3 linked regions of the Rhinolophus ferrumequinum genome follow. The protein of the gene in region 1 purifies or fractionates together with the protein of each later gene. This does not show direct contact. Links are inferred from orthologs where the notes say so. Each region holds a gene or a part of one and is shown in the gene's direction. Other genes may lie near its edges. The genes, in order: MAPK7, PFDN4 and PFDN1.

Region 1 (7,455 bases):
GAGGAAGGGAGTGCGGTGAACTGCAGAGCCCACGCCCGTCCAGTGCAGGGCTACTGCTTTGTTCCAGCCCGTTACTGCTGTGTGGGAATGGAAGGCTGATGGTGACAGATTTTTCCAATTTTCTGAAGGAAACCAGAAATCAGGACTTTTATGAGCTATCTCCCCATTTTTAACATAGGCAAATAATTCCACGCTTTTTAAAAAGGCTTGTGTGAATCATTCCCCCATTCTGCTGGTGGGGGTCTAAACTGGTACAATCTCTAAGGACAGAAATTTGACATTAACTATTAAAATTACAAGTTCAATATTCTTCAACTTGGCACTTCCACTTCTGGATATTTATCCTGCAAATATATTTGCAGTTTGCAAAACGATGTGTTCAAGATCATTTATTGCAGCATTGTTTGCAAGAGCAAAAATTCTGAACTAACCTAAATATCCACCTACACAGTGCTGGTTAGATTACATTCATAAATGGATACTATAAAATTACATTCATAAAGGGATAGCTGTAAAAAAGAATGTGGTGGTTTCTTAGATATGACATCGAAGGCACAAGTGACAAAAGATAAAGTGGAATTCATTACAATTAAGTAGTTCTAAATTTTAAAAACTTTGTGCTGCAAATGATACCATCAAGGAAGTGAAAAGGCAACCCACAGAATGGGAATAAATATTTGTAAATCATGTATTTGATGAGACTTACATCCAGAATATATGAAGAAGTCTTACAACTCAACAAAAAGACAAATAATGCAATTAAAAATGAACAAAGGATGTAAATCGACATTCCCCCAAAAGACAAATGGCCAATAAGCACATGAAAAGATGCTCAACATCACTAATCATTAGGAAAATGCCAATCAGAACCACAATGACCTACCACTGCACACCCACTAGGATAGCTATAATTTTTTTAAAAAGGGGGAGGGAATAACAATTGGTGGTGAGGATGTGGAAAAATTGAACCCTCAAATATTGCTAGTCAGGTTGTAAAATGGTGCAACCACTGGGAAGTTTGACAGTTCCTCAAAAAGTTAAATATAAAGTTTACCATATGACCCAGCGATCCCACTCTTAGGTACACCAAGAGAAACGAAAACATGTCCACACGAAAACTTGTACATAAATGCTCACAGCATCATTACTTGTAACAGCCAACAGGTGGAACACCCAAAGGTCCATCAACTGATGAGTGGATAAACAAAATGTGTATCCAAATCCATTTGGTATTAAAAAGAAATGATGTTCTGCTACATGCTACAAGGATAAACATTGAAAATACGCTAAGTGAAAGAACTGACACAAAAGGTCACATATTGTAGGATTCCATTTCTATGGAATGTCCAAAATAGGTAAATCCACAGACAGAAGTATGTCAGTGGTTTCTGGGGGCTGGGTGAGGGGAAATGAGGAGTGATTACAAACGGGTGTCTTTTTTGGGGTGATGAAAAGGTCCTAAAATTAGGTAGTGGTGATGGTTGCACAACTCTGTCAACATAACAGAAAAACACTGAATTACACACTATAAAAGTTTTAGGGGCCAGCCTGGAGGCTCAGGTGGTTGGAGTGTCATACTCCTCCTAAAGCGGAAGTCGCCAGTTCGATTCCCCCACAGGCCAGTGAGCTGCGCCCTCTACAGCTAAGATTGTGAACAACAGCTCTCCCTGGAGCTGGGCTGCCCTGAGCAGCTGGAGGTTGGTGTGAGCTGCTGTGAGCTGCCAGGGGCTGCTGAGTGCTACCACCGGCTGCTGTGCAGTTTCAGGCTACTGTGTGCCGCCATGAACGGCCGGTGGCCAGCGTGTGGCTGGCAGCCAGCGTGAGCGGCCGGCAGCCGGCAAGAGCCACCGTGAGCTGCTGTGAGCAGCCACCAACAACCGGCGACCGACCAACCGCCTCAGCCAGCGGGCACACAAGGCTCATAATACCAGCAGGGGCCAGGGAGCTGTGTCCTACACAACTAGACTGAGAAACAATGGCTTGAACCGGAGTGGGGGGGGGGCAGGCGGAAGAAGGGGAGAAAAAAAAACTTTTAGAGTATGAATTATATGTCAAAATAGCTTACTAAAAAAAAAAAAAAAAGAGGGACCTCTCTGGTTATTGATACTTCTGGTAAGACATTATAAAAGTGGCCACCTGGGAGTGGGACCAAGATTTTTCATTTAAACCTTTTGAATCAGGTGAAACAATTTTTTCTTGAAGAAGCGGTCAGTTGTGTCATATGCAACAGAGCACAGTAAGGCAAGGACGGAAGAGTGTCTGTTGTATTTAATACAGTTAGATAATTGATGACTTTTCCAGGACAGAATAAAGACCTAGTGGGGGAAGAGCAAAGCAGCTCATGGTGGATTGAAAATTAAGAGAATTAGCAAGCTTTTGCCGGAGAACGTTGCAGTCTGTAATGTGGATATCCAGCCTGGCTGAAATATTCATAGAGAATTTAAAGAATACAGTTTCTGAGTTTCTTCTGATACTTTGTTTTATTCCTGGACCAGACAGGACCACCACACAGCTTGTTCAGTTGGTCCCCTAAAAAGATGTGCTTATGTGTCCCGCTTTTGTATGCCCTCTATTTACACTGGGGGACACCGAAGGCCTTATAGTGCATGTATTTCAGAGTTAGGGAAAACTGTCTTTCACCTAACGGCCATCAGACCTCACTGATAGAAAATGTTCTCTTCCCACGAATACGGTTTCTTTATTCATGTTTAATGCAAATCATGTAACAGGTAATTTGGCTTTTTTATTATGCTCTCAGGAAAATCAGGAACAAATATTATAGTTCAACCTTAACTCAGGAGGCACATATGGTTTGTATGTGTCTAAATATGAGATATCTATTTGTCCCAATATTGACCTAATACTCTTAAACATATTTTTCCTTATGCTGAGTTTTTAAAAATGCAGTATCACAACATATGGATCCCGACTAATCTCTTAAAATCAGTGCAGAAAAAAAAAGTGTGGAAGAGAGTTAATAGAAAGAACTATCACCACTGGAAAAGAGAAGGTTCTTCGGAAGTGCTGGTAATGTTTTTCATCTGAATCCAATACCCTGGTGTACTAAGTTTGTGAAAATTAGTGGAGCTTTATGCATGCTTTAGTGAAAAGTAAAAAAAATCAAAAACACAACAGTGGGGAATATACACAGAACAAAAATTTTCAGAAGTGTGTAGGCTTACCAAAATTCATGTCTGGTCTGGATCCACTTTTCGGCTACTAGTTTGCGACGTAAGGAATAAACCCACAACGTGGCACTCAAAGACTTTATTGGGTCCCACCAACCGGTCCTTATTTAGGGCAACGGAACAACCCCCAGAGTCTGCACTGCTGTACTTCTCGACCTCTGTACCTTCAGCCTGTCTCCCCATGCTGTCTTCTTTTCTCACCTGGTGAAAACTCAGCCAGCCATCTTTGGAGTCGCAACTCCAAAACCTTCTACGTCGAATTCCTAAAGGTTGAAAACCTTTTCTCCCAGCCCCCACTAACCACCACGCGCACCTCTGCCTCCTCAGCACTGAACCTTAGAGACTTGGTGCCCGACACATATTTGCTATATGAACGAACGGGCCATCGGGCCCTGGAGCGGGTCGGGGCAGCCGAGGCCCAGTGCTGGCTCTGCCCTCTGGGCTGAGCTGACGGGAGGCGTAGAGGCTGCACGGCCCCGCCCGCCAGCCCAACTCCGCTGTAGCACAGAGAGCCCTCGCGGTCTTGGAACAGAGCCACCAAAACAGGGAACACGCCGGAGGCCAAGGAACAACCGGCGGAGGCTCAGCGATGCCGGAAGCTGGGCAGAGAGGACGAGCCATCGCCAGGCAGTAGCGGCTTCAGGCTTGACGCTCTAGAATCCGGGAGGACCGGGAACTCTGTGGTTGGACCGGACGGATCACCCTCTTCTGGGATGATGCCTTCCCGGAGCCGGGCTCCCGGAACCGATCGGGAAAATGGCGGGCACAATCTCCCAGGGACAGGGACTGAAAAGGGAAGAGGGCCCTGAAGTGGGGGGATTTCGCGAGCCGGCCGCCAAGCTAAAAGTCCCGGGTGTGCTAGCCCCTCGGAGCTGCCAGGACCAGCGGCGATTTGCGGGAGGAGACGCCGCGGATACATGGAGATGCGCGCGAGCACGCGCGGGGGCGTTGCCTTCCTGCAGGCGGCGCCCGGGGCGGCCAGCGCGCATGCGTCGGAAGACGGCGCGGGGTACCGACTGCACCCCTGAGAAGCGCGGAGCGCACTTTGGGCGGCTCCCGCGGGCGAACTGGGCAGTGGCGCGCGCGGGCGCGCGCAGGACACAGGCGTGGCTTCCTCTGCAGGTGGGCTCGGATTGGACGACGCGAGCACAAGGGGTGGAGAAGCACCTCAGAGACCGCCCAGCGATTGGCCGGAGGCTGAAGGGAGCGTGGTCTTGGGAGGCGGGGCAGGGGGGACCAGCGGGGCTGAGCTCTATGCTGAGGTGGAGGCGGCGGCCTTAAACACGTGAGCGAGTGACTCTGGCGTCCCCCTCCCCTGGGGACGGCAGGCCAGGGGCCCCGGAGACCCTCGAAAGCCCCGACGAGACGTCGGGGTGAGGCGCGATTCGGTGAGTGTGGACCGAGGAAAGCGAAGTGCCCCGCCCCCTCCCTTTCTTCCTGAACCCGCCTCGCTGCACCTCCCCCACCTCCGACCCTGCGTTGCACCGGGACCTGAGCTTTGGGCTCCGATTGCCTGGTGTGGCACATATACTACATGCCAGCCGCCGTCTTTTGCCCCCTACCTGGTCCCCATCGGCTTAGGGAACTTGGAATTACGTGGTCCTGCTCCAGCCTCACAAAGGGGAAACTGAGGCCTGGGGCGGGGCGGGCCCCCGCTCACCAGCGTTTCCACACAGACGCCATGGCCGAGCCCCTGAAGGAGGAGGACGGCGAGGACGGCTCCGGAGAGCCCCCGGGGCCGGTGAAGGCGGAGCCCGTCAGCACCGCTGCCTCTGTGGCGGCCAAGAACCTAGCCCTGCTCAAAGCCCGGTCCTTCGATGTGACCTTCGACGTGGGGGACGAGTATGAGATCATCGAGACCATAGGCAATGGGGCCTACGGGGTGGTGTCCTCCGCGCGTCGCCGCCTCACGGGTGAGCTTCCCTGTGGGCGCCGCTCACCGAGGTGGACACTGGTGCCCCGAGAGTGGGAGAGCCGCCCCCGCTCAAACAGCCCGGCAGGAGAGCCGGGCGCACGTTCTGGTTCGCGTCGGCAAGCGCTGCTTACGTGCCGTCGGGGTGCCCGGCACGGTGCTGGGCACGGCTCTCAGAACCTCGGGCACGGCGGTTTCGCCGGCACATCTGCCTACTTCCTCCTTAGAAAAATGTCCCTCCCAGTGAGACCGGGAGGAGATCTTATCTTTTGTTTCTAACAGAAGTGTGTTCTGGAGCCGCAGCCTAGTACAGGGGCTGGTGGTGGGGCGGGTAAGGTTTGAGATGCAGAGAGCGCGTAGGGAGGTAGGACGAGCACAGTCTACATTCTACCGACAAGCTGTGCAACCCCCAGTAGGTTACTGTGACGGGGTTTCCTCACCTGTAACGTGGAGCTATCAGTACCTGTCTCGGGACAGGTGTGAAGTGTGTGTAACGCGCTTAGCACAGGGGTTGGCACATAGGAGGTACTCAGGATATAGTAGCTGTTGTTACTCAGTGGGTGGTGGCCATGATTTGCATCCTAGACGGGAGATGGTGAAAGGGGCCTTGTGCCACCCTGCAGCTGCTGCAAGGCACCTCACGGTATCTGCCTTTTCTCTGCCCCTCAGGCCAGCAGGTGGCCATTAAGAAGATCCCCAATGCTTTCGATGTGGTGACCAATGCCAAGCGGACCCTCAGGGAGCTGAAGATCCTCAAACACTTCAAGCATGACAACATCATCGCCATCAAGGACATCCTGAGGCCCACCGTGCCCTATGGCGAGTTCAAATCCGTGTAAGAAATGGGAATGGGAGAGGGAGGCAGAGCTGGGAGTTTTCTGAAGGTTAGGACCACATTGCTCAAGTTCTGGAAGGACCGCTGAACCTAATGGAAGGCCCCCGGGGGAATTCCCGTAATTCCAGGACCAGTGCTCCCGTAGGGTTTTGCCAGGGACAGCTGGTTCTCAAGAAGAGTACAGATGTTACAATTTGATAGAACGTCAGTGTAGAGGATGGCAAACGCAGCACACACACTATAACTACAGCTGCCTGTTCTCGTAGCAGTCATCACTCATCAGTCACAGGACGCTTACCGACAGAGGGCAAACCGCCGCAGTGTTCAGCAGTCATTAAGTGGCCATTACCAAACAATGGAGACAGCCCCCAAAACTACAGCTATTTGCTAGTCCTGATTTGGTCCACCCTCATTTTTTCTCGGACGGGCAACTAGATCTGGAGAGAAAAGTGATGTAACTTCACTTAAGTTCATGGAAAAGTTGTAGAGAATCTAGACTCTTCATACCATACGGTTGGCCCTTCCAGAGTCTGAGGGTAAGGCCGCTCCCTGCCTGGAGCCAGGTGGGTGTGGTGAGCTTGGGGCTGGCGTGTGGACAAGACAAGACAGCCCATACGTCTCTCCCTGTCCCTTGTAGCTATGTGGTCCTGGACCTGATGGAGAGCGACCTGCATCAAATCATCCATTCCTCGCAGCCACTCACGCTGGAGCACGTCCGCTATTTCCTGTACCAGCTGCTGCGGGGCCTCAAGTACATGCACTCAGCTCAGGTCATCCACCGCGACCTCAAGCCCTCAAACCTGCTGGTGAATGAGAACTGTGAGCTCAAGATCGGTGATTTCGGCATGGCACGCGGCCTGTGCACCTCGCCTGCCGAGCACCAGTACTTCATGACCGAATATGTGGCCACGCGCTGGTACCGTGCCCCGGAGCTCATGCTCTCACTGCATGAGTACACGCAGGCTATTGATCTGTGGTCTGTGGGCTGCATTTTTGGTGAGATGCTGGCGAGGCGTCAGCTCTTCCCGGGCAAAAACTATGTGCACCAGCTGCAGTTGATCATGATGGTGTTGGGCACCCCCTCACCAGCTGTGATTCAAGCTGTGGGGGCTGAAAGGGTGCGGGCGTACATCCAGAGCCTGCCACCCCGCCAGCCTGTGCCCTGGGAGACAGTGTACCCAGGTGCTGACCGCCAGGCCCTCTCACTGCTGGGGCGCATGCTGCGTTTTGAGCCCAGTGCCCGCATCTCCGCGGCTGCCGCCCTTCGCCACCCCTTCTTGGCCAAGTACCATGACCCTGATGATGAGCCTGACTGTGCCCCGCCCTTTGACTTCGCCTTTGACCGGGAAGCCCTCACCCGGGAACGGATTAAGGAGGCCATTGTGGCCGAGATCGAGGACTTCCATGCACGGCGTGAAGGCATCCGCCAGCAGATACGTTTCCAGCCTTCCCTGCAGCCTGTGGCCAGTGAGCCTAGCTGCCCCGACATTGAAATGCCCAGTCCCTGGGCTCCCAGTGGG
Region 2 (7,685 bases), on another chromosome or scaffold:
GCCCGAATCACCCAGGCCAGGGCATCCCACTAGCACTGACTTTCTTGCTGTTTCAGGGACTCAAGCTTTGTCTGCCAGGCTGCCCTCATCACGGCAATGGATTCCCCCGGCACCTGGCACCTCCCATTCTTGCTCTCTCAGATCAGGTCTCCTACTGGTGAATCTGATTCGCTGGGCCTGGATCCTGTGGCCTGCATCCGAGCTTAAAGGATGCCAGGAAATTGAGTTCTGGCTTCTAGAAAGGAATGGTAACACTCATGACCTGGAAATGTCCCCAAATGTACATAAAAGTATTCAACAGACATTAGGGGATCACAAATATATATAAGATACCCACTTCACTGCCAAACAGGTCCTTTTATGAGCAGAGGCATCTGTGGGAAAGAAGCTGCCTGGCTCAGTGCTAGGTACACACGAAGTTCTGAAGAAATCCTTGTTGAATGAATCACACGAGGAAATTTATATTTGAATTTGAAGATATGCTTCGATTGCTCCATATAACAAGTTCTGACTCATTCTCAGCATTGAAATTGCTATAAGCACGTACCTTGCAGTAAACAGGTTAGTTAATGGTCTACTTTATAAAGGCTTAAAATCAGTGCGTACATTTGAGGGCTCCGGAAAATGCTTTGCCTTTTACCAGGTAAAAATTAAGGCAAGAATTCAAACAAGCAGAAGATGATGATTTCCTTGATTTTGTGCCATCTTGCTTTGCAGAGTGTAGAAGAGAACGTGGACAGTTCCCGAGAACAGTAAAATGTCAGATTCTGGAGTCACAGCGCCACCTGGTGAAGAAAGGAAGGGCTGCTCTGCCAATGAGTCCACAAAATCAGTTTTGTGAGACAAGATCAGAATTTTTGTGAGACGCACAGTAGTACTCGATCTAGCGAAGAAAAATAAGTGAATGGAAACGCGCTATGGACTCTTGCACATTGTTACTGAATGAATTCACCCACAGCTATATTGTATGATATATTACTGCATTCATCCCTAAATACATAGTCACTCATTCATGCATTTATTTATTCATTAGCTAATATTTGTGAAGCATCTACCTCCACGTTAGTGCCGTGATTACAGAGATGATGAAACAGGTGTGTTTCCCTTGGTGGGAAAAGGAAAGGTGCTATGAAGGGCTTTAAGGGTGTTGAAAAGGGGGTGCTACTCTTTCTGGGTGGTGGATGTGTTTAAGGAAAGCTTTCTTGATGGCTGAGTGTCAGGAGTAGAAGTTAGCCAGGTGAACAAACAGGAGAAAGGGGCGTCAAGGACAGCAAGCGGCTCAAGTGCAAAGGCCCTGAGGCAGAAGGCAGCAGGCAACATTCACAGAGTGGAGGCCCACGGCGCTAGAGCACCGTGAGGGGGAGGGATGGAGTGGAATAAGGTCAGAGAGGGAGGCTGCACCTCGGCCAGGAATCTAAATGATGCCTTTGTGCAATGCGTGGGAAGACAACGAAGAATTTCAGATAGGGCCATGATAAAACCATCTACAAAACTGTTGAGCCAAATACAAACTGACACTATTTTCTATTACCCAGCACAATAAGAAGATTCAAAAGAACTACGAGAGAGAAGGTAAGGCTTGTGCAATGGTAGCTTAGAAAAATACCAACTGTGTAGTAAGTGCAGACTTTAAAGATGAAAGAGGTTAACAATAACCAAGGAAGGCTTTATTTAAAGGACAGATTAAATCGTGAGTCATGAAGGGGCACAGAGGCACTTCTGGTGATCATGGAACTAGAGCAGGAAGGAGGTGAATGTGGGAGAGTAATCAGACAGTCTGGAGAGGAAATTTTTCAGTGAGAGTTCCTGATTTGCATAGATTTACTTCAGAAAACCTAGGGGATTCCCCCCACCATTTCATTTAAGAATGAAAAACTTGGTCATAAGAACATTCCAGAAGATGTGCACCTGGGAGGTTTATCACAGGTCACAGATTGAGCGGTCCATCTAGTTGGTATACACAATAGATTTAGAATTTATTTTAAAATCAATTTCAGTGGTTTCAACATCACAAGACTTCACATTAAAAAAAAAAAAAAAATCCGGGTTACTGGCTTCTAGGAAGAAAGGGGAACTTCTAGTGGCCCTGGGTCCCCATTCCCTCATGGCAACAATTGGCGGGAGGTGAGGAGCTGCTGGAGATGAGCTGCACAAACTGGATACGGTCAGTCGGATGGCGCACAGTCCCTCCCTCATTTATAACGTCCATCACTCACTTATATTTTCTACCTGGCCCCTGCAGGCCTTGGAATCCGCTCTCCACTCCTCCCCTCCCCCACTCCCTACCCCCTCCACGGTGGGAGGCAGCGGAGGAGGGTTATCTTCTCCACAGCTTCATCTCTTGCCCTTCTTCTCTTTCCTTTTCATCCCCTTTCTTCCCTTTCTTTAAGTACACCATGATCTCCTACCTTTATTTGATATTAAAGGTTCCCTCCACTTTATTCCCTCCCTCTGGGACAGGGATTAGGGTCAAGCACACAGGCACCTAGAGCCAGGCACATGTAAGGGGGACCGCAAGGGGCAGTACCTGGCCCTTCTCCCCATTCCACGGCCTGTTACTTTCCGCCTTTTGAACAAACCTCAGCTGAAACAGTTTTCTCCGGGAGGAAGAGATCTATTTAAACCCCTTAAAATCTGCTTCTGTAGCAAGCGAAACTGGTTTTCCCTTTAAACCAGAGATTTTAAATGTCCTTTGAAAATGTACTTATTCTATGTTTTAAAATAGATCTGTTTTTAAGTTAAGAAAAGAATCGTTCTGTTGATATTTTAGCAATATATCCAGGTGGACTTGAAAGGCTGGGGTCTGTGGAACACTACCAAGGTCCTTGGGCGCCCCCTGCAGGCACTGAGCAAATGACCACGTAGTGATGGGGTGGGCCCCTCCTTGTCCCTAGATTCCTCCTGGCCAAAGTGGAAGGGTAATCCTACCAAGATTTCCCATTCAGGAGAACGGACTCTGGGTGTGAGCACACAATGTGATATACAGGTATGTATTATAGAAATGTACTCTTGAAATCTATGTAATTTTACTAACCATCATCACCCCAATAAATTTAATTTAAAAAAACAAAAGACTTTCCTTTCAAGGCTTAGAACATCTGGTGCAGATGTTGCAGGTTTTGGAGGGAACTCATGCACACACTGCTATGAAATAATGTGGTGAGCTCACTATTGCTTTGTGACAGAATCTAAATTAAGCTGGGACATGTCTGGACAATTTTGTAGCTTACATGTCAGTTCAAATAGGGCTTTTGTTCCCCTCAATTTTCCAGTCAACATACTTAGCATTTTACTCATAGAGTTGTATCTTTTTCATAGAGTTTTCATGCTGGTAGTTACAGTCTTTTATTATTACTGTATGTGTTCTTGTTATAACTATTAATAACACATATTGATAATACCACCTTCTAATACTGAAGAATTTACTTCTGTGTTTTGACTATGATCTGTCATCACTAGACTGTAAGCTGCACGAGGACAGGGAATTTTGCCTATTCTACTTGTACTGTAGTCCCACTGCCCTTCTTGATCGAGTTAACATGCCACCAATCCAGAGTCTTCACTAGCTACTCCAGCCAGACATGAGCCTCCTGGGGACCCCTCAGCAGTTGTCCCAGGGCTGCAGCTTCAGGTGCTATGATTGGGGGCGATACATGTGTGCCAACCATAAGCTCTTTGATGCCAAGCACCCATCTAATTCATCCTTCTTTTCACAATAGCATCTAGCATGGTACAGATTTCAAACAATTGCACCATGAACGCCCTCATTTCAATGCCTTAGAACAGAAGTCTGGGGTGACAAGTTCATACACCTGGACACGACAGGTAAGCACACCATGAGGCAGGTGGGCATCTGCCGGGCCCTGGAGAGGGTCTGTTAGCTAAATGGGCCATGACTAATCAGCAACAACAGCTGCTGTTGTGCAAAAATGTAGGATCAAAGTCACCAGGATTCTGATTTTACAAGCACAAGCAAAACAAAAAATCGGATATTGTGGAGTGAAATCTCCTAATTTTCATATGTTTGTTCAAGTAAAAATACTGTGTGGGTCAAAACAAAACAAAAAACAAAAATAGAACAAAAAACAAAACAAAAACATGGCTTGGATCCAGTCAGTAGGTGGCTGGGTTTCAACCTGATGTAAGGGAATCTGCTCATCCCCCGTCCCGTTCCCCTCCCCTCAGCGGGGATAGTACTTTCAAGTGGTTCCTGGTGATTTTCCTCCTGATCAGCAGTCTCCAATTGTTTCCATTTGTACCCCAGCCTTCTTTCTTTTGCTGGTTAAAAAGAAAGAAAGAAAGAAAGAATTGGGAGGCACAAATGTCAGAGCAGACAGTAATCGCTCAATAATGTTGAATAAATAAGTAGGAGTACTTCTCCCTTAATACCATCTGAATTATCAGGGCATATTAACTGCACATCCTATTGCCAAGGTCATTAGTTCTTAGCACTTTTTTAGGTAGGTAGATTTCTCCTCATTCCTGTGCGGGATTGATGAAAAAGATTTCCCTTTCATCTCCTCAAGGCCCGGCCCCGCCCCCGGCTCGGCTCCAACCGAGGCCCTGCCCCGCCGCTCTGGGCGCCCCCTGCTGCCCGCTGCTGGATCCGCGGCCGTTCGCCACACCCCCCAGTTTGTGTCGACCCACGGGGAGTTGCCTGTCCCTTTAATTGGCATGTACCAAATCCTTCCAGGTTGCATTTCCTCCATGAGTCCTAGACGTTAGAGCTCCTTCGTCGAAGATCCAACACGAGGGAATGTGGAGACGGTGTTGTATTTTACGGGAGTTCTGGGCCAACAGGGAGTGAGAGAGGGTAGGGAGGAGAAGCGCGCCGTTGCGGCCCTCCCCGCCTCGCGCGGTAGTCCAGTCCCAAGATGGCGGCCACCATGAAGAAGGCGGTGAGTGGAGCGCTCGCGGTGCGGGATGCTCGGGCTGCGGGAGGCGACCGGCCGCCGAGGGGCCGGGAGAGGGATGCTGGGGTGCTGATCTCTGAAGCCCGGCGTGGGGCCCGGGGTCCCGGTCCCCGGCCCTGAGGACGGCCCCGCAGTGAGGCCTGTCCACGCCCGGCGCCCTGGGCGGCGTCTTAGGCCCCCGGCCCACCAAGGCGGGGCGCACGGACTGGGACCCTTGGAGGGCTCCGGGATGCCTCTCGCCGGGCTGAGGATGGCCCTGGAGAGTCTGAGGGTCCCGCGGCCCAGGCCTTGTCATTGCAGCGTGGGAAGCGAAGGTCCCATTGACTGCATCTGACCGTAAGGCTGGGCGCTTTACCTGAGTTATCATATTTAACCCTCACAGGTCCACAAGGTTAGGCAGTATTGGTAGCGTCCTTTGCAGGTAAGGAAGCTGAGGCCCAGAGAGGTGGAGTCACCTTCCCAAGGTTACGCAGCTGTAAGGAGTAGAGCAGGACCCTCCATCCTTGAATTATCTGGCCGCAGAGCCCCAGTGCCCAGCCCTGAGTCTCCCACATCCACACTTGATGGCCCTGCGTCCTCCAGGCCAAAGGATAGACGATGGGTCAGGGTCCAGAAGCCGTGCGTTGATTATCTCTGATCCTCCCAGCAACTTCGCAAGGATAAGGGTTTCTCCCCACTTTACAGATGGAGAAACTTAGACACAGAGCGGCTAGTGACCTGAAAGTGACTCAGCTAATAAGAATCAGAGCTAGAATTCAAACTCAGGTGTTCCTCCTACCCCCCCAAGCACACCTTTTATCCTGCTAAGCAAGCTAAACGCCTGTTTAGGGTTTCTAATCCGATAAGTGTACCCAGATGCTTAAAGATATCTAGATAGAAGAAAAAGAAAATGTGGAGAGAGCAAGGAAATAATAACATCTGATCATTATCAAGGCTTTACTGTGTGCTAGGCACAGTTCTAAGAGTGTTGCACACGTTATATATTTTAATCTTATGGCCCTTTTAAGGAGCCCTTTAAGGAGTTGATTTTATCTTTATTTTACATCTGATGCAAGCCGAAGCAGAGACAAAGCTAGGATTTAAGTAAACACAGGCGTTGAGTCTCCAAAGCCTGTGTTTTGACTGCATGGTGTCTGAAGAGAGTCCCCTGGCTGAAGGGATTTGCTTTCGAGGTATTGTGCAGGTTTGCTCTCATTCCACTTCAAGGGCCACTTGAACTTGCTTTCTTTGCTCTCCTCTGCAGCACTGCATAGTCGGAGCCACCTGCACCACCTGTGCCACCTGCGCCTGGTGTAGGGTGACCAACCATCCCTGTCTGTCTGAGACTGAAGGAGCACTCAAACTGGGAAAGCCCCAGGCAAACCAGGATGAGCTGCTCTCTCTGTTGGTCTGTCATTCATTCAGTTCTTACAGAGTACGAGTGTGGGGGTCTAGGGCCACGGTGATTCAGACAAGTATGGCACTTTGTGAGATTCACTTCACCTCTATTTTGTATTTAAATTGGGCCCTGTGTTGTTAGGTACGGCCCTTAATGCCATGGCAGATATTGTGGTTTGGCCCCATTTGACAGATGTGGAAACTAAAGTGCAGAGAGATGAAGCAAAGGAGTTGAGGAAATGATAAAAAAGGATTTGAACCCTGGACTTTGCAAAATTGCTGAATTACCAACATTTTTTCCTTCCAGTCATTCCGCAAGCTTTTTGAGTGTGTCATATGGTACAGTCGCAGTTTTACGTGGTGGAGGTAATGATCAACAGTAATGACGTTCTTATTCCCTGACCCTCCTAGCGTAGTAGAACGTATGCTCTGGGGGAGAGGCAGGCAGTAATGGAATAGTCATACAGAAAACTGTAAAATTTCCAGCTCCGATCAGAACTACGAAAGAAAGATACTTGTGAAATGAAGGTGGAATAAGGTCTGTGTTGTGATCAGAGAAGGTGTGATCTATCAGATTACATAAGGAGGGGAAGAAAAAGTGGGAAAGGGAGCAGGTATTCTAGATATTCTAGAGAGGGAATTTCTCCTGCCCAGACCTTGAGTGCATTTAATAAAAGGAAGGCCAGCATGGCAGCGAATTGGGGGGTGAGGGGGGAAAGATTGAACCATGATGGTAGAACCTAGAGGGGTAGGTGGTGGCTGAAACATGAAGGATTTTCTTCTTCATCTTAGTAAGACTGGCATGTAGATGGCAGCGTCGTGTAGACGTTCCCAGTGCTATAAACCATTTCTGATCCGCCAACTACATGTGCACTTTCCCCTTCTGCCCTCTCTAGGAGAAAACATGGGCATGCCACTGAGTGAGTGTGAAATATCGCAGGAATAGCCCTTCTAATTGGACAAAAATTGTTTGCAATTTGGAGTACTCTACATTTGTAGCGCATTGCTTCCCAACGGGTCATGACTTTTCTGGTGAGAATGTTTGGAGGACATGATTCAGTGCTCTTGTCTCCAAGGTTCTGCTTTCTCAGAACTGGTTGTTGGCCACGAGGGGTCTGTTGTCTGAGTTCTGCCCAGGGTCCCTCAGAGAAGCCATCTTTGACCTTCCTATCTAAAGAAGTCCCCTTCACTCTCCAGCTCCCCAACACTTTCAACCTCTGTTCTACTTTCATCATCATGTATATCCCCATCTAATAAAAACACCCTTGTTTTTTGCCCGTCTCCTCCACCAGAATTTAAGCTTGCCAGGTGTACATGAGGGTAGGACTACAGCTGTTTTCACAGTGTCTGACACACGGGAAACATTAAATAATTATTAAATGAATATATGCATGA
Region 3 (7,227 bases), on another chromosome or scaffold:
GTCTGTCCCCCACTGGAATATGTACTCCATGAGGTGAGAGAGTTTGTCGCCTGTTACTGTTACATCCCAAGGGCCTGGATCAATGTCTAATGGATGTTCAATAAATATTTGTTAAATGACTAAATAAGTGTATTGCGCATGGAGAAACAGAACTGAGGGATAATAGATCACCTTTCTAAATTCCACAACTGTGGACTGATTGAACCTCAGAAGTAGTACATCCCTGTGCTAGTGAATCCTTCAGTGGGAAGTCTGTTTTTACTATGAAAACGATAGACACCAGCACATCCTGGTTATTCTCTAAGCAAATGTCGAAGTACTGCAAACTCTTCAGTGCTTTCATAGAAGGTCTCTTTCTGCTGGTTTTTTTTTTTTTTTTTTTTTTTTTTTTAGATTTTTATTGGGGAAGAGGAACAGGACTTTATTGGGGAACAGTGTGTACTTCCAGGCCTGTTTTCCAAGTCAAGTTGTTGTCCTTTCAATCTTAGTTGTGGAGGGTGCCGTTCAGCTTCAAGTTGTTGTCCTTTCAGTCTTGGTTGTGGAGGGTGCCATTTAGCTTCAAGTTGTCCTTTTCAGTCTTAGCTGTGGAGGGCGCAGCTCAGCTCCAGGTCCAGTTGCCGTTACTAGTTGCAGGGGACGGAGCCCACCATCCCTCGCGGGACTCGAGGAACTGAACTGGCAACCTTGTGGTTGAGAGCCCACTGGCCCATGTGGGAATTGAACCGGCAGCCTTCAGATTTAGGAGCATGGAGCTCCAACTGCCTGAGCCACCGGGCCGGCCCCCTTTCTGCTGTTTTAAAAGCTCCAGAGAGAAAGGAAATAATTTTATTTTGAAGACCCAAATGAAAAGGAGATATGGAAAAATATTACAGTGGCTTCCAGTCTGTAAATGTATATCACATTCTGCCAACTTTATGCTCAGGGAAAGTTTTATTTTTCCCTAAATTTGGTACATTCATGTGGTGTCAAGAATTAACATAAAAACTGGTTTGGAACCTGTGAATCTCACAGGGCTTTGGTGGAAATGGATGTGAAGGGATGTTTCCACAGCCCAGGACATGCTAGACACTTTTGATGAGTTCTTAGTCATATGAACTCAGTAATATGAACTTAGTAATATGAGAAAATCAACTTTCATAAGAAAGACCAGCAAATGCCTCCAATGGAAGAATCCACACTAGATGATAAGACACTGTAAAAACATTTAAGAATAATTATGTTCATTATGTTCTAATTATGTTCACTATTAGGCAAGAATATATCATTACATATCATAAAAAAGAAAAGAGCAGGTAGATTTGAAAAAGGTACAAATAAATTTTTTCCATTTTTTAATGTGGTAATATAGACATAACATAAAATTTACCTTCTTCACCATTTTTAAGTGTACAGTTCAGGGGTATGAAATGCATTCATAATGTTGTGCTACCATTACCGCCACCCATCTCTAAAAGTCTTTCATCTTGTGAAACTGAAACTCTATACCTATTAAACAATAACTCCCCATTCCCCCTCTTCTCCCTAGCTCCTGGCACCCACCATTCTACTTTCTGCCTTTATGATTTTGACTACTCTAAATCCTTCATATAAGTGGAATTATAAAATATTTGTCTTCTTGTGACTGGCTTATTTCACTTAGCAAAATGTCCTCAAGGTTAACCTGGGTTATAACATGTGTTTGCTTCCAATTATTTCCACATTTTGCATATTGTGAATATGCTGCTCTGAACATGGATATATAAATATCTATTCAAGTCCCTGTTTTAATTCTTTTGGGTGTATACCCAAAAGTGGCTTTACTGGATCTTATAAGAGACCCCCACAGAGATTCCCTCACCCTTTCCACCAAGTGAGGACATAGTGAGAGGTCTGCAGTTTGCAACCCTGAAGAGGACCCTCACCTAACCGTACTGGTACCCTGATCTCAGATTTCCAGTTCCAGAACTGTGAGAAATACATGTTTGTTGTTTATAAGCCATCCACTCTGTGGTGATTATAGCAGCCTGAAAGACTAAGACATATTGGATTAGGGCCCACCCTAAAGACTTCATTTTAACATTACCTGTGTAAAGACTGGATTTCTGAATAGATGACATTTGGAGGTACTGGATATAGGACTTCAACACATCTTTTTTTGGGGGATACAATTCAACCCTTAACACAAAGACTAACAGAGTTTACTTCTCAAATACTCATCCTGAAAGAATATACTGAAGATTTACTTTATCAAGAAGGAAATTAAACTCAAGAGGAAGGAGTGGTATGCAAAAAGGAACAATGACCAAAAAATTTGAGAGGAGACTTTTGCCTAGGGTCACATTCTTATTAAATAATACAGACAGTACTTGAACCTAGGTTGTCTGATACCTTAGCCCATGCTCTTAACTTTTTACATTACACATGAATTGCTATGAGGAGTGTTTCAAAATCTCATGAGGTAATGTACAGTAAAGTATCTGAGACTTTCTATGAATTTTAATTTTTGGGTCATTATTTATTGATTATCTATAGTGAAGTTCTAAGAAGGCCCCAGAGTAAAATTAGGCCCCCCTTTTCTTTCTCAAATTAGAAAGTGATGACAAATTTTCTTCTGAAGAATTCATTCTCATCAAGTGTTTATTTTGTATTTCTTCCCTATGAGGCACTGTGATAGGTGTTCTGGGTATAAGTGCTGGGAGAACAATTATTCTATCGTTCTTGATTTCAAGGAGCTTACAGTCTAATAAGGAAAAAAAATTGAAGGTAGAAAGTTTCATGTGCCTTAAGAGAAGAACAGATGTGGTCTTGAGGAGAGTTTAAAGGAGATATTATTTTTGGTTGTTGAGTGATGTAAAAAATAAAAAAAAGACATAATGGAGGAGGTGACCTGTTTGCTGGACATTGAAAGACAAACATGACAATGTTAACTACCTCAACTAACAACTATTCATTGAGTACCTACTGTGTGTGTGGTGCTATGTTTGGAGTGTTTCATCCTGATCTTATGTATTCCTCACAATAATCCTATTAGGTCAATATTGTTATTCTCAAATTAAAAGAGGAGACAAACTCTATTGCTACATAGCTAGTAAATGGAACCAAACAGACCTAGGCTCAAGGTAAACCAAACCTTTAATCCAGGTCTGGCCGGTTCCAAATTCCTTCCCTTTCCCTTCCCTCACAAGTTTTTTTTTTTTTTTTTTTTTTTTTTTTTTAAAGTTTTCTTTTTTTTTTTTTTTTAAGGGGAACAGGACTTTATTGGGGAACAGTGTGTACTTCCAGGACTTTTTCCAAGTCAAGTTGTTGTCCTTTCAATCTGAGTTGTGGAGGGCGCAGCTCAGCTCCAGGTCCAGTTGCCATTGCTAGTTGCAAGGGGTGCAGCCCACCATCTCTTGTGGGAGTCAAGGAGTCGAACCGACAACCTTGTGGTTGAGAGCCCACTGGCCCATGTGGGAATCGAACCGGCAGCCTTCGGCGTTAAGAGCATGGAGCTCTAACCGCCTGAGCCACCAGGCCGGCCCCCCTCACAAGTTTTTAGAGTAGATAAAACATCCATTTCTGCCATGTCCTAAAGTCCAATTTCTATCCAATATTCTGGTTCAAATGCTAGATCTTTTACAGCAAATTCTCAAAATTTGGTCTGCAGATGACGTTGCATCAGGTCATAAGGATTGTTTGCAAAAGTGCAAATTTCTGGGCCCCAATCTCAAAAATTCTAAGTAATTAAGTTTGGGACGAGGACCAGACAATCTGTGTTTTTTTGTTTGTTTGTTTTTAAACATACTTTTTTGGCTTCTCTTGGGAACCACTATGTCAAAAATGTCCTCCAAGAGCATTCCTTAGAAATAAGTTCTTTGGAAGACCACTCCAATAATCTTGTTTTTCTCCACACTGGCATGCCTGAGGTGCAGGCTGATTCTCATTCCTGACAGCACAGGGACTAGCTGAAGGACTGAATGACTGAAGAGGTTTTGGTCTGATATTCATACGTCTCAATTTAGCAGCAAAAACTGAGCTATTTGTCAAAATGCTTAAAACCATACACGAAATCTGCATGTTGATGTTGTGGCTGGAAGGACGTGGAGAAGCAGCCCAAACCTGATAGATCACGTGGGGAACACAGGCTGAATCGAATCCAGAATATTCATTTCAAGCGCCACTAGCCCGCGTGAAGGGAAGAAGCCCGGCAAGCCCGATTTATGCGCAGGCGCAGAAGAAAGGGGGACAATTAAACAGCCAAAGCGCGCCCTTCCTCCTCACTTTTTCGGGCCTTCTTCCATCGCGCAGGCGCAGAGAGTGAGCCAAGATGGCGGCGCCCGTGGATTTGGAGTTAAAGAAGGTAAGAGAGCGTCTTGAGCAGGCCGAGGCTTCTCTTTAGTAGCTAAGGGGACTGTGGATAAGAATATCGAGGAGGCTCGAGTCTTGAAGACGGAAAGAGGCCCCAGGGAACTGGGGAATGATTTCCTGAAGTCCCAAGGCGGGATCGGGTCTTCTTAAGTTGGAGTAGGGGGCGAGCGGCTCTTGGTGGGTAACAGCCCGTTGAGCTGTCTTTGATTGTCTGGTGCGCCAATAGCTGGCCTGTTCTCTTCCGAGCTGCAGAGCCGTTACGTTGCGCTTGGGCCTTCAGTTTCGTATTGAGGCCTGAAATAAGCGTTTCAAATTGGAGCCCCTTAGGACGGTTCGCCTGAGCCTAGGCATCTGTAATGGTGCATCCTCATTAGCTTTGAAAAATTCCAAATCCAGCCAGTGCTTTTAGGCCATTTATTCGATCCCATATCTTGAAAGGTCGCAGTACAGTCCAGAGTCAGACATGCTCATAGCATTGTGCATCTCAGGGCTCTGGCTCCCCACCTTTTACCTTTTTTGAAGGACTTGTCGAAAAAGAAACAAGTCCTGCCAAGTTTTACAAATAAAATTGATAATCAGAAGGAATTGGGTTTCTCTATTCAAACAATTGCTTATAAATGTGTTATTATTCAGAAACGTTTTCATCATCTAAGAGTTGTCAGGATTCTAACATCATTACGGACCCCAACAGTTTTTTGGGGTGGGGAGGGGGACCGGTATTGGAAAGGATCCTAGGCTGCATCTAGTTTAAACTATACTTTTCCAGAAAAGGAAACTGAGTTCCAGAAAAAAATTGAATCAAAGGTTGGGACTAGAATCCAGTATTGTCTGCTCCACACCTTTTGACTACTTAGGTTCTTCATAAGAGCAAATTTTACTTCAGATTCCCTTTTGGTCAACCTTTGCATGAGAAATAGGACAGCTGAAATAGCTGTCGATCGTACTACATGAAGCTCTTTGTTATTGCTGTGAGGATTTATGTGTATGTCTTGCTTTTTGTCATTCTTGTTTTGAAACTTGTAAATTTTGCCCTTACGTGGTGTTCTCTAATGCTCAAGTATCTCAGCTTTAACAATATTTCAGCTCCCTTAGCAAACTGTGTACAGAACAATCAGGTAATTTTACATGCAGAACAAAGTTCATTTTAAGAATGCTTAACGCAGTGTAAAAATTTACTTTTTTCTCCTGTTAAAAGTTCAAATTTAAGCCTGGATTTATTGAAAGAGCTAACATAGAGCTATGAATGGACTTAACTTCCCAGTATTATTTGAATTTGTTGCTAAGACACCTGTGGGCAATGAATGAAAACTAAGAAAATGATTACACATTTAAGTTGGATAGTTTTACAACCAATTAACTGAAGAAACTCGTTTAAAGATTTTATCTTCTAATATCTCGATAAGGTTTTATTTTGGCTGGAGACTAGTAGGAAATTTTCAGGCACCTCCCTTCATACAAAATAAATCTTTGGAAACCTTACCAGTAGGTGAGAACAAAGTCAGAATAAAAGTTAAGTAGTACCTTTTGCCATGTATTGCAGTCACAAATGTTATTATTAAGGCATAAATTTAACAGCATGCACTGTTAAATTTCAGGCACTTCAACAAGAGTATCCAAGAACTGTGTTTATCTTTCAGTTACGCGTACACAAGGTTGAACAGTGTACACAAGGTTCAAATTTGGCCTGGTATGTGTATATGAAGATCATGATCCAATTCTACCAATGCTTTGAAATGTTTTCCTTTTTTGTCTTTTTCTTTAAAATATCTCTATTATTTATGTTCTTTATATTACTGTAGACAGTAGAATGGGTAGATTCCTGAACTAGGGGTCACAAGAAATTTAGTACCTGCCTTTCCACCTGATAGTCGGTCAACCCTGTGCAAGCCACTTACAGCTCTTTAACACATTTGGTTACTTAATTTGTAAACTGTAATGATGAAATAGCCATTTCTAACTCATAGGATTATTGAGAGGAATAAATGCGATATTATTATATCCTTCAGTGTTCTCATGTTAATATTTCTATTAATATTTGAAACGTGGGAAAGTGCTTTGAAACCTGGTTGAATAACACAAATGTAGAGAGTTGTTACATTTATGGTTCTTGTTTTGGATTTCTGGGTTTCATCCTCTGTTTATTGCATTCATTGCTTTTATTACTCCTTGGGTCCCTGCTACTTGACATGGTTATTACTTAATGTGCATTTGTTTCTGCTTCAAATAGATTCCATCTTCTGACAGGGTAATTTCAGTATGTAGCCTAGTGGCTTGATCGATTATAATTATACTGACTTTTATTGATGTTTGCTTTGGTAAATTTCATAGCTTTGTCTCTGGTTAGCATGCTTAATTTTAATACATTTGGATTTAACTTAAATGTTTCTTATTAAGTGTTTCACCTACTAAATCAAGGACTTGTTTTTATTAGGCCTTCACAGAGCTTCAAGCTAAAGTTATTGACACTCAACAGAAGGTGAAGCTTGCAGATATACAGATTGAACAGCTAAACAGAACGAAAAAGCATGCACATCTTACAGATACAGAGATTATGACTTTGGTAGACGAGACTAACATGTATGAAGGTGTAGGAAGAATGTAAGTAAAATATATCCTTATGGGAGTTATCTTGGGAGAGGTTTTGTCTGAATTAAATCATAGAATTTGTTTGTTTTAAAACAGGTTAAAGTATCACTGTAGCTTTAAAGATCATCTAGTCAAATACCTTCTTTTTTAAAAAATGAGAAATCGAATCCCAAATAGATGTGTTTAATTTTAGACTTTGAAGTACATTTCTTAAATATTTCCGTGTTCTCTCTACTACTAGGTTCTTAAAAGTGTGTAACTTCAGTGATTAAAAAAAAAAAAAAGATTTTTCATGAAAAGATGTTTATAGTAATT

What was found.
Region 2: the proteins of MAPK7 (region 1) and PFDN4 purify together in Homo sapiens (affinity purification with mass spectrometry; 3 studies listed by BioGRID and IntAct, with this or other methods). This does not show direct contact. The link is inferred for Rhinolophus ferrumequinum from reciprocal best matches to the Homo sapiens genes MAPK7 and PFDN4.
Region 3: the proteins of MAPK7 (region 1) and PFDN1 purify together in Homo sapiens (affinity purification with mass spectrometry; 3 studies listed by BioGRID and IntAct, with this or other methods). This does not show direct contact. The link is inferred for Rhinolophus ferrumequinum from reciprocal best matches to the Homo sapiens genes MAPK7 and PFDN1.

The regions. Positions count from the first base shown.
Region 1 is NC_046304.1:140,296-147,750, reverse strand, and holds the start of MAPK7 (mitogen-activated protein kinase 7), read left to right. Parts: upstream 1-4,416; 5' UTR 4,417-4,576; intron 4,577-4,864; 5' UTR 4,865-4,869; coding exon 4,870-5,101; intron 5,102-5,769; coding exon 5,770-5,935; intron 5,936-6,572; coding exon 6,573-7,455. UniProt on the Homo sapiens protein: Plays a role in various cellular processes such as proliferation, differentiation and cell survival. The upstream activator of MAPK7 is the MAPK kinase MAP2K5.
Region 2 is NC_046306.1:6,539,862-6,547,546, reverse strand, and holds the start of PFDN4 (prefoldin subunit 4), read left to right. Parts: upstream 1-4,641; 5' UTR 4,642-4,874; coding exon 4,875-4,898; intron 4,899-7,685. UniProt on the Homo sapiens protein: Binds specifically to cytosolic chaperonin (c-CPN) and transfers target proteins to it. Binds to nascent polypeptide chain and promotes folding in an environment in which there are many competing pathways for nonnative proteins.
Region 3 is NC_046307.1:14,945,892-14,953,118, reverse strand, and holds the start of PFDN1 (prefoldin subunit 1), read left to right. Parts: upstream 1-4,170; 5' UTR 4,171-4,285; coding exon 4,286-4,318; intron 4,319-6,757; coding exon 6,758-6,924; intron 6,925-7,227. UniProt on the Homo sapiens protein: Binds specifically to cytosolic chaperonin (c-CPN) and transfers target proteins to it. Binds to nascent polypeptide chain and promotes folding in an environment in which there are many competing pathways for nonnative proteins.